Linked DNA regions of Lonchura striata. The protein of the gene in region 2 purifies or fractionates together with the protein of the main gene of each other region. This does not show direct contact. Links are inferred from orthologs where the notes say so. Each region holds a gene or a part of one and is shown on either strand. Other genes may lie near its edges.

Region 1 (6,889 bases), on a different chromosome or scaffold from region 2:
ATTAACAGATTAACACTGATGGCTTCACAGGCACAAATAACTGCCCCTAAAGCAAGCACTGAGCACAGGGAATGCCAGGGCTGGGGTTTGCCCTGTAGCCTTGAGTTGCCACATTAGAGTCATATATGAAGCTGGCAGCAAAGCTACGACTCCAGCTGGGATTCTGGATTTAAAACTAAGGTATGAACAGACCCTCTCTGCTTCATTTGCCATCTAGTCAGTGCACTGACCAAAAAGGTTTGCAGTCTGATCACGTGTTGTTTGTGCTGTCTGAACCAGTTAGTATTTTATGTCATCACTGCAGGACAAATCAGCTCTACACAGATGCAAAAACTCTGGCAAGAACTACCACCAATACACAGTTTTTGAGCACTCACTTGACCTGTGAGGAGGGTAAGAATCTCTTTGTTTCACACCTATTAGAAACCCTGAGGGGCAGGTGTGACAGTTGTGTTTGGGTAATTTGGTCTTGAGGAGATTTAAGAACCATCTGCCATTTTGCCCAAATTTAGGATGTGTTCTTGTTGGAGTCTTTAACACAACAGACAAAGAGTCGGAGTTTATCCATTTTCAATACACGGTTCCAATTAGAAGCCTGGTGAACAGGTGCAAGCAAAGACAGCAATCCCACTAAAAACCTTCCAAGTAAGATATCCAAGGACACAGAGTTGCTACAGCTGTTGGATGCACTTTCCCCAGCTCAACAGGACTTCAATCTGTTTGAAATAACAATCCAGCATCCAGAGTGACTGATGACCAGGATAAGTATCTATAAAATAAACACTCAGAGGATCTTTAATAGTTCAAAGAAACTACTCCTCCGAGTTTTCTCATTCAGTGACCCAGAAGTAATAATTATGCATGAAGTCCTCCAAGTTGTACAACTAGCAGGATGAGAGAAACAGACATAACAAGGGAAAAGAGATCTGTATTGCAAAAAGTTAACAGGTATTTGAAATTCCCAATCTTAAAACTAGGATGTGTTCTGTCAAGATAGCTTTTCTGACTTGTAGAAAAAATGCAATTCTCAGTGTTTTGGAGAGCCAAAAAAAAAAAAAAGAAAAAAGTCAGGGGATCACACCTCATAGGGTCCAAGTACAAATCTGAGGTGATCTAATAAAAAATTTCTGAGATGTGTCTAAATCATGAATTGCTTTTAATATTTGAAGCAACCTCCAATCATTAAACACTTTTATTGTGATCCTCCCAGTGTTTCCAATAAGAGATTTTGGGCTCAGTAACTAAATGATTTAGCTGTGCTAACAAAATTTGTAGAAAATACTAAGCAACCACTCCAGTTTTATAAACTAATATCCATGCTTGTTGGCAGTTCAATAAGTGAGGCTTTAAGAATAAAACTGCTCATCTGCCACGTGGTTCTCTCAGTATCCTTTTCCTTACAAAAGCAGTCCTGGAAATGAGGAGAACTTCAGTGGGGTTCCCAGAATTCTCTCTCTCACAGCATCACAAGGTACTCCAAATATTAATCCAAGAAATACCAACCAGAAAAAAGGTTGTGCAAGTGGAATTCAAGGTTGCCTGGGAGCATCTTGTAGTGAACAGGAAAAGTTAAGCTGTGCCTTGGTGTTGTCAGTCAGTGAAGGTTAGAATCCACCACAGGAAAGAATGTGTTTTTCTACAGTATACATGTAAAAGAATCTCAGAAAATGCTCCAGTTGCAGGATAAAACCTCTCTGCCTTGAGGCCTTGGGAAAAATAATTCTCACAAGACCCAACAAGAGCCAATGAGAACTTTGGAAAAGACTGCTTGACTGAGAATCCACTGCAGGCTCTCTCCATCACACCGGTCTTTCCATTTGGGAAAGATACCCACTTCTACCTCTGTAAGTGATCTCTCAAAGGCTCCACCACTCACCTTTGTCTGTTCTTTCCTGAGTTGCTTTAATAATGCTGCATCTTCATGGGCCTTTTCCCTCTCTTCTTTGAGAGTTTTCACTATGGCAGAAGTCTGAGAGATGCAGTTTTTGATGATTCTTTCTCTGTTGGTGTGAGCATCCATCAACTAAGTGGGGAGAAAAAGAAAGTCACAGTGACTCAGAATAAAAACCTCTTAGTTATAAGTTTAAACAGACACTTCCTAAAGTCATGGTATTGCTGTGCCTACAGAAATCCCTTTGAATTCATAATCCACATGTGGGAAACAACACAGCTTTGAGCAGCAGCTACTCTCACCTTAGATTACCCTGTCGTTCTTGCTCTTACCAAGTTGATCAAAAGTCAAAGGTAAACATGAGGAGTCTTGCAGAGCAGCAGAAAAGCACCCTTTTAAAAAGATCCTCAAAGGATCAGTATTGCAGAACAAAGAACTGCCCTGCATGGTTTTAAACTGAAGCAGTGTGTGGAGATGATGAGCAGTGCTGTTAGTAATACACAAAGCAGGATCTCCCAGGGCAGTATTTTCCTCAGACACTGAGGATGCTTTACTGGCCACTGCACACGACAAAGCAGTGGGAAGAGAGCTGAAAGTGGAAGGTGTGCACACTCACAGACTCATACAGCTCTCTGCACGTCTGGCCAGGATCAACTTTCCCCACAAAGGAAGCTGTTGGAATCGTAGTGTTTAATTCATGAACAATTCTATCATCGATTGTCCTCATCACCCTGAGCAGCTCCTGTATTAAAAGAGAGAGATACTCGGTTATATCTCTCAGAAAAGCCTACTACAAAAAAAATTTGCATAGTTAAGCATTTTAATAGAAACTAAATAGGGTTCCTTACAAAGAGCTAGAAGCACACCGAAGGAGCAATCCCACATGCAGGAGTATGCGCTGCAAACCACGGAGTTTCCTTGGCAGCAAGGGCCAGAGCAGGGGTGAGTAACTGATGCCCCCTGATGTCCCCTGGCCCTGCCGGCAGCATGGACAGGCTGAAGAGCCTGTGCCCAAGTCCCCGACCCCACTTCCACACGGGAAACTGGCACCAAACCTGCACCAAAAAGGCAAACTTTGAATAAAACCCCCCTAGCATTCTGGGGACCGTGAAGCTGAGCTGGGGGAGGTTTAGGTTGGATAGCACGAAGTTTTTCACACAGAGCAGCAGAGCACTGGGACAGGCTCCTCAGGGCAGTGGCCACAGCAGCGAGCCCGACGGAGCTCAAGATGTGTTCGGACACCCTCAGGCACACGATGTGACCCCTGGGGCGTGCTGTGCAGGGCCGGGAGCTGGACTCGCTGGCTCCGGAGGGTCCCTGGCTACTCAGGACGTTCTAGGATTCCGCGGTGCAGACACAGCCGGTTCCCAGAGCCGGCTCGCCCCGCCGAAGGCACGGGTGGCCCCCGCTCCCTTACACGCCGCGGAGGCGCCCGCGGAGCTCCCGCCGCCCGCGTGGCTCCCGCCGCCCGCGTGGCTCCCGCGCCGCGAGCGCTGCGTCCCGGGAAAGGCGGGGAGGGGTCCGGCCGCGCTCCCGCCGGAGGGAAGGGAACGGGGAGGAGGGAAGGGGGAAGGGGAGGGGAAGGCCGGACCCGCTCCCTCCCGCCGCATCCCGCCGGCCCCGGCACCGGGGTCACCTCGCGCGGGGCGCGCTCCCGCGGGGCCGCTCGCGGGAAGCGCCGGGAGCGCGCGGGACGGGCGGCGGCAGCGCCCGGCCCGGCCCGGCCCGGCCCGGCCCGCCCGCCCCGCGCGGGTTACCTGGAACTCGGCGAAGTCCTCGCAGCTCGCGGCCCCGCCGGGCGCCGCCATCCTGGATCGGCCGAGGGAGCCGCGGCGCCCAATCCGGCGGGGAGCCGGGATGACGCGCGGGGCGGAGCGGGGCGGGCCCCGCCGGAGCGCGGCCCCCGGCGCAGCGGCCCCCGGCAGGGCATCGCCACCGGCAGCGGCCCCGCTCCCCTCCGCCTCCTCCGCCCGCTGCGAGCGCTCCGGCCGCCCCACCGGAGGCGGCGCCGGCCCCGAGCGCCCCGCGGCGCGGCTCCCTCCAATCGCGGGCCCGGGGCGGGGCCCGGCCGTGACATTGAGCTGCGCCCCGCGGGCCCGCAGCGCCATGTGGGGCCGCGCCGGTGAGTGAGCGACGGGGGAGGCGGGGAGGCACCGACCGAGCCCGGCCCGGGACCGCGGGCGGCCGGGACCGCGGGCGGCCGGGCCCGCAGCGCGGGGCGGGAGCCGAGGCGAGCCTGGGGCCGGGCCTGGCGGCCGAAACCCTGACGGGAGCGGAGCGGCCGTGCCTCGGCTTCCCTAAAAGGGCCAGCTTCCCTGGCGGTGTCGCCTGGAAATGTAAATTACTGGCTTTTCAGAGCGGGAGTACCTTATTCCGCGAAAGTAAAGGGCCTTAGGAGGGACAGCTTCAGGCAGTATAGCAAAGTAAAATAAGAACTCCTTTTATATTTTTAAGTGCCGTTTTTGCCTTTCTGAGATTGGTTGGTTGTTTGGAGCTTTTTCCTAAACTTTTTCATTATCTTAATTAATGCATTCGAAGTGCCTACTGTAAAGTATGTGTGCGTATATAAGGTGTCCTGGCTTTTCTAATGTGCTACAAAGTAGTTACCTCTCAGTGCTAAATATTATGCTTTTTTGACTTTTTTTTTTACTTGACTCTCAATGCTTTTGGCATGTGACAAGATTGATAGAATGCTGGTGTGCAGTCCTTGAAATAGCACCATCCAAAGTGTATCTGAAACATTTGTATAGATTAGTCCCTGGAAATTGTAATGTGTTTTAGAAATTGCTAGCAGGACATTATTTTGCTTCCCCCCCCCCTCCCCCCCCGCAAATGAATGTAATTGCATTCACATTTTTCTACATAAGATTACTGAGCAAGCTCAAGGCATACCTTATAAGCAAGTTTTCATTGGTAGGCTATTACAACTAAATCTGGTACTTCTTGCCTTCACTTGTACCTATTGGTTTTCTTTCTTTTTTTTCGTCTTATATTAAAAAAAACCCAAATGCTTCCATTTAAAAGCTGGTTCCCACTTTCTACTGCTCTGAGTTAAACTTGGCTTTTTTCTTCCTCTGCTTCCTTTTCCAGATAAGGCTGTTAAACTGCTGGGAAGAAATATTCCCTCAATTCTGAGGATGACCGAGGGAGTGGACCTGAAGATAAGCAGAAGGCTGTGCATTAAACCCCAGCAAGACCTTCAGTCAAAGCGTAAGAGTCTTTGATAAAGTCATGGAATGTTTCATGCCACAGAATACTCACATATCCCTGCTGCAATCATCTGAACAGGAATTTTGCTGATATAGGTGATCATATCCCTGATTTTGTGAGAGTTCTGGTCTCTAGACTGAAAAAATGGAGCATTAAATTTGGTAGTCTTGTTTTCTAACAAAAAGACAGGGGTCGATGTTTCCACTTGTGAGGGTCACACAGCATTCACTTTGTAGCAGATCACCAGAACCTTATCTAGTGCACACTCCTACACTGAGGCTCCTCAGCTCTGCTCTGGAACTGCTTCTTCAGACCCACTGTAAACTGTTCATGTTTAGAAATGTTGTGTGAGCTAAAAGACTTTTGCAGTTTTTTGGAGTGCAGCTGTTCCAAAAACTCAATGTGCCCTGCAGGGAAGAGTCTGAATTGTTCACATTTAAGGGTGTAACTGGTAAGGGACATCTCAAGCGATTAAACACTTTTTCACTATTTACAGGACAGTTTCTGTGCTCCCTGTATCACAGGCTTCTTATGGCACACCCATGCAGGAGAAAAGGAACACACAGATGTGAAGCATTTGGCATGACTCTGTGTTAAAAACATGAATGAGCTGTACTGGGTAGGAAGGTCTCCTTAAAAATGTGATGTCTCCAGCAGGGGCCAGTAAAGGAAGTCCCTTGCATTTTTGTAAAGTGGGAATAAGGAAGAGAATGGGAAGAGGGTTCCTGTATATCACTGCCCCAGAGGTGGCATCTTGGCGTTTAATAGTCCTCACTGGATTTCTTTTTCCCCAACAAATTTCCTGATGCTGGATTAGATGTATTTTTAGCATCCACATTCTCTAAGAATGTGGATCCTAAAGTTCCCTAAGAATTTCTTCTCTAAGAAGAAATTCCTCAGCTACAGTCTTGTGTTTGTTTTTTTAACCCAATGTGCACTTTTTTGTAATCGGATTTTCCTTTATTCAGTACCCTTTCTATTAAAACCCACACTCCTAATGTCTCTTATAATGCTCTGCTGGGCTGAAGAGAGCTTCAGTCACTGCTTTTCCAGGCCAAACGGTCTCGGTCTGTGACACAGTTTCTTACACGATGTCCATGCCATACCTGTGGCTGTCCTTACCAGGGTTCTCTGTGCCTGTTCTCTTTTAGCTCCCTCTAAGTATTTCCCATGCTTTTCAGAAAGCTGGAGTGAATTTTTCACAGAGGCTCAGTAATGCTGCTGTGTTGGTCAGAGTTCCTGATCAGGGGCAGTTATGCTGTTTCCTGTTCTGTTGCTTGCCAGAAGCACTGTGGAACCCCAAGGCCTTGCTCAGGCCTAGGTAATGATTTGTAAGCAAGGGCAGAGTCTGTCACTTGTGTGTGAACTGGAATTGCTTCCTGTTTATGGACAAGGGAGTTCCCAGGCCAATTCATTGACTCTGAGTTCTGAAGCCCCGTGGCATTTTGGGCTCAGCCCTTTTCTTTGTTTTTGAATAAGCTGGTGCTGTCAGCAAACTGTATCCACCCCACTTCCTACATAATTCATGAATCCATGAGGGAGAACATGGCCATACAGGATACTGCCTATTGTTTAAAAGGAAAAAGCTGTCTATCTTTGCACTTTGTTTCTTAGATTTTAATGGTATGTTATATATGAAAAGCTTCCCCTGTTACATTATGGATATTTTGTTTATGGAGTTTGATAGACTGACCTGATAATTATGCGTCCAATCTTTGCCTATGGTCACCTGTTTATTTTTACCTTCAGATAAAATCTTACACTACCTGAAAATGTTGACATTTTGTG
Region 2 (7,661 bases):
GCCTTCCCACAGCTGCATTCATGGGCCATGTCAACTTATTGGGGTGCTATTTTTATGGATGAGCTGTTCTAGCATAAAACCAAAAGTTCTTTTAATCCATCTCTGGGAACAGAGATCTTATTTTCTTCTTCTATTCCTAGGGCAAGGCTTCTCATTTCTTTCTGGTCAAACTCTTCATTGGATCAGAGCTACTGCAACATCTGCTTATTCCAACACTGATGGTTCTGCTCAGGGCTGTAGGTAGAACACTACATCTGCCCAATGCATTCCATGAATTATAGGAAAAAACTAGTTTGTTGTATCAAATATACCTTCACCATAGTCTTGCAAAAATAATTTTAGCCCACGACTAAGGCATCTAGTCAATCCCCTCCCTGCTAGAATTTGACTCCTTTACTTGACTTAGTGTCCCATGTTATTTTCTCGACGTGTATATTGTCTCTACGTATTTTCTCTACCCTTTCCTTTTCCTGACTCAGGGGAGAATTAGTGTTCGTAGGTTCATTTGCTCTTGGGCTTTATAAACTACAACAGTATAGAGTCCTGCAACATTTCAAGGCTGAATCTGTGCAGGCTCCGCCGCCGAGGAATCGCTGTGACTGTCGCTGCTGATCATGTGGCTCCCGCCAGCAGCGCAACCCGCGCAGGCTGCCGGCACCACCCCCGCGCCTTTCTTTCATGCGGGACACTGCAAGAAAGAAAAACGCTGCTGCCACTGCTTTTGTCCTTCTGTCCGCAGCAGAGCCGGTTAAAGCGGCTAAGCAAAGTCCCCTGCGAGTCACGCCGGGACAGCTGTGGCCGCACGGCACCGCTGCAGTTGTGTCCATTCGGACACGCACTCCTGGCCACGTCCGGGATGGCGCTGGCCACTCCTGGCCCCGGGGCCACCCTCAGCGCCGACCACAGGGCCACTCCCGGCGCTAGTGCTGAGTAAACCAAGTTCACTCGTGTGCCATGCCGAAATAGCCGAATAGCGTGGCCCCGGCTGCACGGCGCTGCCAGGGCTGCACGGATCCCGACCGAGCAGTCCCGGCCACAGGGCCACTCCCGGCCGTGTGGTTGCCTACGGCGCTGGGACAGTTCCGGTGGCACGGCCCGGCAGTAGCAGAAATCGCAGCGGAGCTGCGCGCCGAGCCGGCCACGTGGGCCCGGCCTAGTCCGGCCTCGCCGAGAGCCGGAAGCCAAAAGCCGCGCCCGGCCTTCGTTCGTGCTTCCAGCGTGCTCGGCACTGAGGCACGGCCAGCGCCTCACAGCCGGGCAGCTGATCGATTGGCTCCCCAAAGCGAGGCCGCTGATTGGCGCCTCAAAGCGAGGCCGCTGATTGGCGCCTCAAAGCGAGGCCGCTGATTGGCGCCTCAAAGCGAGGCCGCTGATTGGCGCCTCAAAGCGAGGCCGCTGATTGGCTCGGCCCGCACGGGACCCGCCCCGCAGCCTGCGGCCGGCCCTAACTGCAAGGCAGATTTCGTTAAACCAAGGCATTGCCTCAGCCCTAAAGTCACTTCTTGGTATCAACTGTGTGCCTCTGACCTAAGGTATTCTCTGTGTCAGATTATTTGAATGTGTTAGCTCCATTTGGGCCTGTTTAAAGCGTGTTTTAGAATCTGGTTTAAGTTAAACTTCTTCCTAGTAATTTAAGCTAAAATGAAAGAAGGTTACTTGAAGCTTCTTAGGAAAAAAATGGAAAGGCATTAAGTGTGTCAGTCTAAAGGATCCTGGCAGTGTAGGCCTCTGCTGATTGCCCTCTTAGGGCTTTCCAGAGGCCTAGTTTGCACATAAGAACAGTTGTAGGGTATCAGACAAAAGGTGTAGACAATCTAATATCCCTGCCTCTGGGATGATGAAGTGAGCAATTATTTAGGCAGCACACACCTATAATAACAATCCAAGAACAGGATAAACTTAAATGATACTTCCATTTGCAACTCGGGCATTTTCTGACTCCAAACAGGCTATATAGCAATATGTAATTCTTGAATGGATTTGTAATTAGTAATCCTTGCTGGATTTCTCTTCCACAAGCCTGTCTAGTTTCCCTGGAGCCCATATAAACATTTAGCTTCTGGTGTCAGGTAATTCCACTGGATTGCACTCTTTCATAGAAAAACTCTTGGCTTTGTTTATTCTGAATTTGTTTCTTGGTAGCTTCAACTATTTTCCACCCTTTCCCTGCTGGTTACACTTTCAGCATCTCTGCTATATGCCCTAAATCAGCTTGTTTCAGGATGCAACTGCTAGATCATTTGTAAGGCTTCTCCAGGGAATCATCAGCTGAACATCTGCATCTGGAGGGAAGATAAAGCAATGACTTCAGGCTCATGTCAGAAGTGAACGTAAGTTATCTGAACTGCATGGTGGACACTGGTACGTACTGTAGACACTTGCTCTCTTTTTGTTGCTCACATACGTTCTAAATTGTGGAGAGAGAAGCAGAGTTTTTGTTCAAATGACATTAAACTTACAGTGACCTGTGGGTTTTCTCCAAATGGTAGCAGTAAAACACGTGACTCTGATGTCAGTTATACGTAAATACGGCTGTGTTCGTACAAAATGGTAACAGTTCAACTGCAACTGGCCCCAAAACTGGAGAGCTGCTGAATTTCAGTAGAAAACCAGCCCATTCAGAGGAAGTGCACCTACATAGGAGGTGTGTGCACTAAGTGGTATGAAGAAATTGCTGAGAAGAAAGGTGCAGAGTAATTCAGAAGGCTTGCTATTGCAGGCCTGAAGCTGTGCCTTTTTGGGGCTCTGAGCTCGAGTAGATCTGCTAAGGCATGAGGCAATAAGGCATGGTTGTACAAGGCAGGGGCAGTGCAAGAGTGAGTAAAAAACACTGGCAGGCAAAGGCTGTTGCAACAGAGCCTGTAATGCAGAGGAGTTTGCTGTTGTGTCTCAGATTATTGCTTCTGCCTTGTCTCACAAAGCAAGTGATTCATTGCTTTTTTTGCTCAGGGCAGGGCAGTAATTACTTTCCTAGATTGCTAAAAATAAAGCCAAACCATTACTAAAATATTAATCTTTAAAGGGAAAAAAAAGGCAGAATGCTGATGTCTCCTATAAGCAACTGGACTTCTATTCAGAATGGATTTATTTATAGGACTGGTATGAATAATAAATGCATGTCTTTAAATAATGAGCAACTTATTCCACAATCTATTTTTACTTATTTTTACTTAATCAGATCTCTAGTTATTTTGAATGTATGTTTCCATGTACAGTAAGACACACTGGGTTTCTTTTCCTGCTGTTATTTATTTTCTCAGTATGTGGCTTTCCTTCTTGATTCATCAACACATATTTATCTCTGCAATGCCAAACTGTCTTACTTAAAACCGTCAGAATGAAACATCTCTTGGGTCTTTTGATGTGAAAGCATTGGACTTACACACACACACACACACACACACACACACACACACACAAAATCTGTTGCTTATCTTTTGCTATAACAAACAGGTGCAGACTGGCGTTATGTTGGGCCTTTCTACTAACCTGCTCTCTTAATATACTGGAAAATTACTGTTGTGCCATGTGTTCTGGAAAATGAATTGTGATATTATGTATTCTCTGTATCACACAAATATATTGTGTATTTGTAAACGAATTTTGCTTTCTTGAAGAAGTTGAGATCATGTCATAACCCAGGCAAGGAGAGAAGAATATGAGTTTTAGAAACGGTTATTGTGCAGTTCCTTGGCCTTGCAATGGTCTGCATTGGTGAATCGGCGATTCCTCCTGCTGCACAGTAGTCGTGTGACTGTTCTCCAGCTATGATTTCTGGTCAGACAGCACTGTCTGGGAAACGTATCTGAGGGTCACTGCTTCTCTCGGCCTGAGACACACTGTGCTTTTATGGGGAAGGTGTCTGTGGGTGGTGATTGGAAGAGGTAAAAACGGAGCTTAGGCAATTTGAAAGTCTGCGGCAACTTGTCGGCAGGAGGCTCGACACCTTGTTCGATGGGCTACAGCTGCCGGAGCGGCAATGGGACGGCCGTGCTGCGGGTGGCCCTGTGTGTCCGTGGCACAGAGCTTGTGAGGGGGGATGTGTTCAGTGCAGTGGGGCAAGGGCGAGCAGCCAGCGGAGCGATATGGGCACTGCAGCATCGCCCACGCTCGGCGGGCGCCGTTCCCCGGAGAAGGGAAGGGCTCCTGGGGGCTGTGAGGAGCAAGGCCCGCCATCTGCACAAAGGCCGCGGCTGAAGGGCGTCTCCCGTCCGTGTGCCAGCGCGGGAGGGGCTGGGCCCCGAGAGGGCGGCCGGTGCTTTCCCCGGCAGGGCAGCGGCGCCGGGATGCTGCGGCAGGCGCAGGCGAGGGCCGCCCGTCCCCGGAGGGACGAGCGCTGCCGCGCAGCCCCGGGCGGCTCCCGGGCGCGGCTCTCCCGGCCGCTCTGCGGCTCCTCCGCGCCCGCGGGCGGCCCCGCCCCTGCGCGCGCCCCGCGCAGCGGCCCCGCCCTCCCGCAGGCCCCCGCCGCCGTCGGGGCTGCCCGCCCGAGCGCCTGCCCGGCCGCGCCGCCGCCGTCCGGCTTGTGGCTCGGGGCTGCGGCACCTCCCGCCGCTGCCGAGCTCCGGGCCGCGGCCGCCGGCGCCTCCCGCGGGGCGGGGGTGGTGTGGCGCTGCGGGCGGGGCAGGCGGCGGGATGGGCGGCCCCGGCGCGCCGGGGTCCTGCGCGGCGGCGGCGGCGGGCGGGCGGATCAGTGTCTCCTTCAGTTCGCCCTCCACTGCCCGCGGCTGCAGCAGCGCGGCCTGCCGGACCACTCTGCCCGCCCCTGACCGGCCTCAGCCCTGCTCCGCCGACGACCCGCAACACGCAGGTGCCGGCCCCGGCCGCCACGGGCCTGGCGGAGCATGCGGGGGGGGGCGGGCGGGGCTCGCCCGGTGGCGAGCGGCTCTGAGGCCTCGTGGGCCGGGGGTGGCCGGGCCGCGGGCTCGTCCCGGCGCTGCCGGGTTCGCGGGGCGGGCGGCGGCCTCTCCGCGGCCGCTGTCCCCGCGGTGCCGCGGCCGGGCTCGGCTGCGCGAGGCTCGGCGGGCGGAGGTCAGGCCGGGATGCCCAAGATGGCCGCGCCGAGCGGGTCGGTTCACCTTGCGGCGGGGCGGGCGGCGCGCCCGGCCTGGGGCCGCCGCTCGGCCCGGCCCGGCCCGGCCCTGCCCGCGCTGCGGCCGCATCCCCGCTCGCCCTTCCCTCCGGGAGGCGCTACTTTACTGCCCCCGCCTCGCTTCCTGAGCCCGTAAGCTATTTCCAGATCCTGTCCTTAAAGTTTCTACCTTGGCCTGGCCCACATTAGGCTTCCGTGTCCACCTCCGGTTTGTGTGTAGGGAGAGCGTTAATGCAAGGGTAAGGAGGTGGCTTTTTTAAGCATCTGTAGTATCAGTGTAAGCCTGAAGGTCACCGTGTGTCCGATGTATTTTAACAAATTAATTTTTGAATAATCTCAGTTCTTTTGTTGCTATTTGTTGTGACACTGGGATAATTTCGGCGTAGTTTGTTGACTTTTAAATTGGTGAGTACCCTTTTTTCAATCTATTATCGGCTGATAGGGTTTGTAGTTTGATCTTGAATATCTTGAGATCTTGGGATTGTTAGAAATCCTAATAGAGGTCTGTGTCATTTTTTAATTGTAGAGCTTGAGAGTTTTGAAATACTACTTCCAAGGAGAACTGTGATGTAGTAATTTCAATAATACTAATACATTTTTCTGTTCTTTGGGTGATTTTCTTTTTATCGCAGAAGAAAGCGTGATTGTGGCTCCCGAGTGACAGATTAATTAAACTTCATCACGGTGGCATGAAACAAAGATTAGGGTGGAGCTCTCACTTGGCTCAAGTATATTCTGTACTTCAAGTCGATTATTTTACAGTTTTTACAACAAATCTCTAGTTGCTAAATGACGCTTGTTGTTTAGTGATTTGTAATTAGTAGTTTTTAAGTGAAAGGTGCTTCAAAATAGGGTTGAAAAAATTACTTGTGACTATGAGTTTGCAAGCCTATCTAACATTAAAGGACACAGGTCTGATTTTTTAATGGCCCTTTTTTCATTTAATGAGAGTTCTAATGGTGACATTGGTTTATCAGACATTTAGTATGTACAAAATTAACTCTTGCTTTCCTGTTTTGTCCTCATCCATCCCTGTCAGTGTTACAGTATAGTATTAGAACAGCAGTGTGACAGTTGTACTCTATTTCAACGTTTTATTACAAAACTTTTATCTGTAGACTGGAATGTCTGACAAATACTGGCTGGTTTCCCTGCAGGGGTAAGGATGCTTAACTAGGCCAGATAAAATGATAACATCCTTTTTACTGTAATAATCCTCTGAATTTTGACAGTTTGTTAACTTCTCAATACACTTCTGCTTAGCATAAATCTCTTGTCTGTACTGTTTGTCTAGTGCATTTGGAAACATTGAAAGCAAAAGGGAAAAGCTTGTTTATTTATACTGTAAAAGCATGTCTGTGGTAAAGGCTAATATAAAACTCCAAAACTAGAATTAATTATTTTTATGGCAATGCTAGTTAGAGGTGAGATCTGTTCATTAGAGGAAACGTGTAGCTGAACCTTGTCTATAATATGCTAAGGTGCTGAATTGTACAGGTGCTGTACAGGAGGACTGCAGGCAAGAGTTCTTGCACTCCCTTGTAATTGGTCTGTCAGCTGTTTTTTTTTATGGAAAACATAATAGGAGCCATTTAATGACTTGTCACTGGGATTAGGTTCTGTTCTTCTATAAACTTTAATTTGGGTTTGGCTTCTTTAAAGTTCAGATACTTTAGGCCATTTTCATGTCTCTTTTTAAAAAAAATAATGTTTAGTTTAACTCCATGGAAAACCAGACTTATTTTTGAACAAGTGATAGATGTCTTGATATAGTGACTGGCTCTAGAGTTTAGACATCTTTGCTAAACACGTTTTTCTGAATTTGTGTGTATGTGTGTGAAACTGATTGTAAATACTGTTTCTCAGAGGAGGTTGAAATTATCCCCTTAGGGCAATAGGGAGCTGAAGTAGGGTACTCTGGAAATCTGCATTATGAAATGTAGAAAAATAACGAAGAGTCTTCTGCCTCCCCCATTGATTACTAAATAGTTTGTGGTTTTTTTTTTTTTTTAATTAATAGCAGTTCATACAATTTGGCTGTATATGGCAGGTGTAATTAGAGTTTGGAAGTTAAGATGTGAGAACACTGCCATTGTTATTTTTCAAGTTCTAAAGATAGTTTTTTCATTTACTTAAAGAGAAAAATCACACAAAAGGAAGATAAGAAGTCAGTTATGTTATTCTGAGTCTCTCAGCTAAACAAATGTGACCAATCAGTTTGAGAAGATAAGATTTTTTGTTCTCATGTGTTTTGCCTTTTCATGGCCTTATCTAGTTTCATTTTGCCCCTTTTCACAGTCGAGGGGGAGTTACTAATATGCTCTGTTTCCTATATTTCACAACTTTAAAATTGCAGGCCTCTGTGACAGCAGCCTCTTGCTGTTGAAATCATGGGAAAACAGTCTTTCAAGGAAGTACAGATAAGAGTGTGTGCTCCCAGGGAGGAGAGTGATAGGGGCCTGGTGAGACCTTAGCCTGGAGTTTGTCCATAGGGCCAGAGGGCTGGGCCATGGCCCATCGGCAGTGGCAGGTTCTTTAACAGCAGGGTGGCCGGAGGCTCTGTCTGAGAAAG

Evidence for each region.
Region 1: the proteins of VDAC2 (region 2) and FAM162A fractionate together in Homo sapiens (co-fractionation; 3 studies listed by BioGRID and IntAct, with this or other methods). This does not show direct contact. The link is inferred for Lonchura striata from reciprocal best matches to the Homo sapiens genes VDAC2 and FAM162A.

Annotation. Positions count from the first base shown.
Region 1 is NC_134604.1:29,259,588-29,266,476, forward strand, and holds the start of FAM162A (protein FAM162A), read left to right. Parts: upstream 1-3,881; 5' UTR 3,882-3,997; coding exon 3,998-4,013; intron 4,014-4,981; coding exon 4,982-5,101; intron 5,102-6,889. Other genes in the region: protein MIX23, read right to left, coding at 1,724-2,023, 2,508-2,633, 3,649-3,699. UniProt on the Homo sapiens protein: Proposed to be involved in regulation of apoptosis; the exact mechanism may differ between cell types/tissues.
Region 2 is NC_134609.1:11,428,473-11,436,133, reverse strand, and holds the start of VDAC2 (non-selective voltage-gated ion channel VDAC2), read left to right. Parts: upstream 1-4,642; 5' UTR 4,643-4,807; intron 4,808-7,661. UniProt on the Homo sapiens protein: Non-selective voltage-gated ion channel that mediates the transport of anions and cations through the mitochondrion outer membrane and plasma membrane.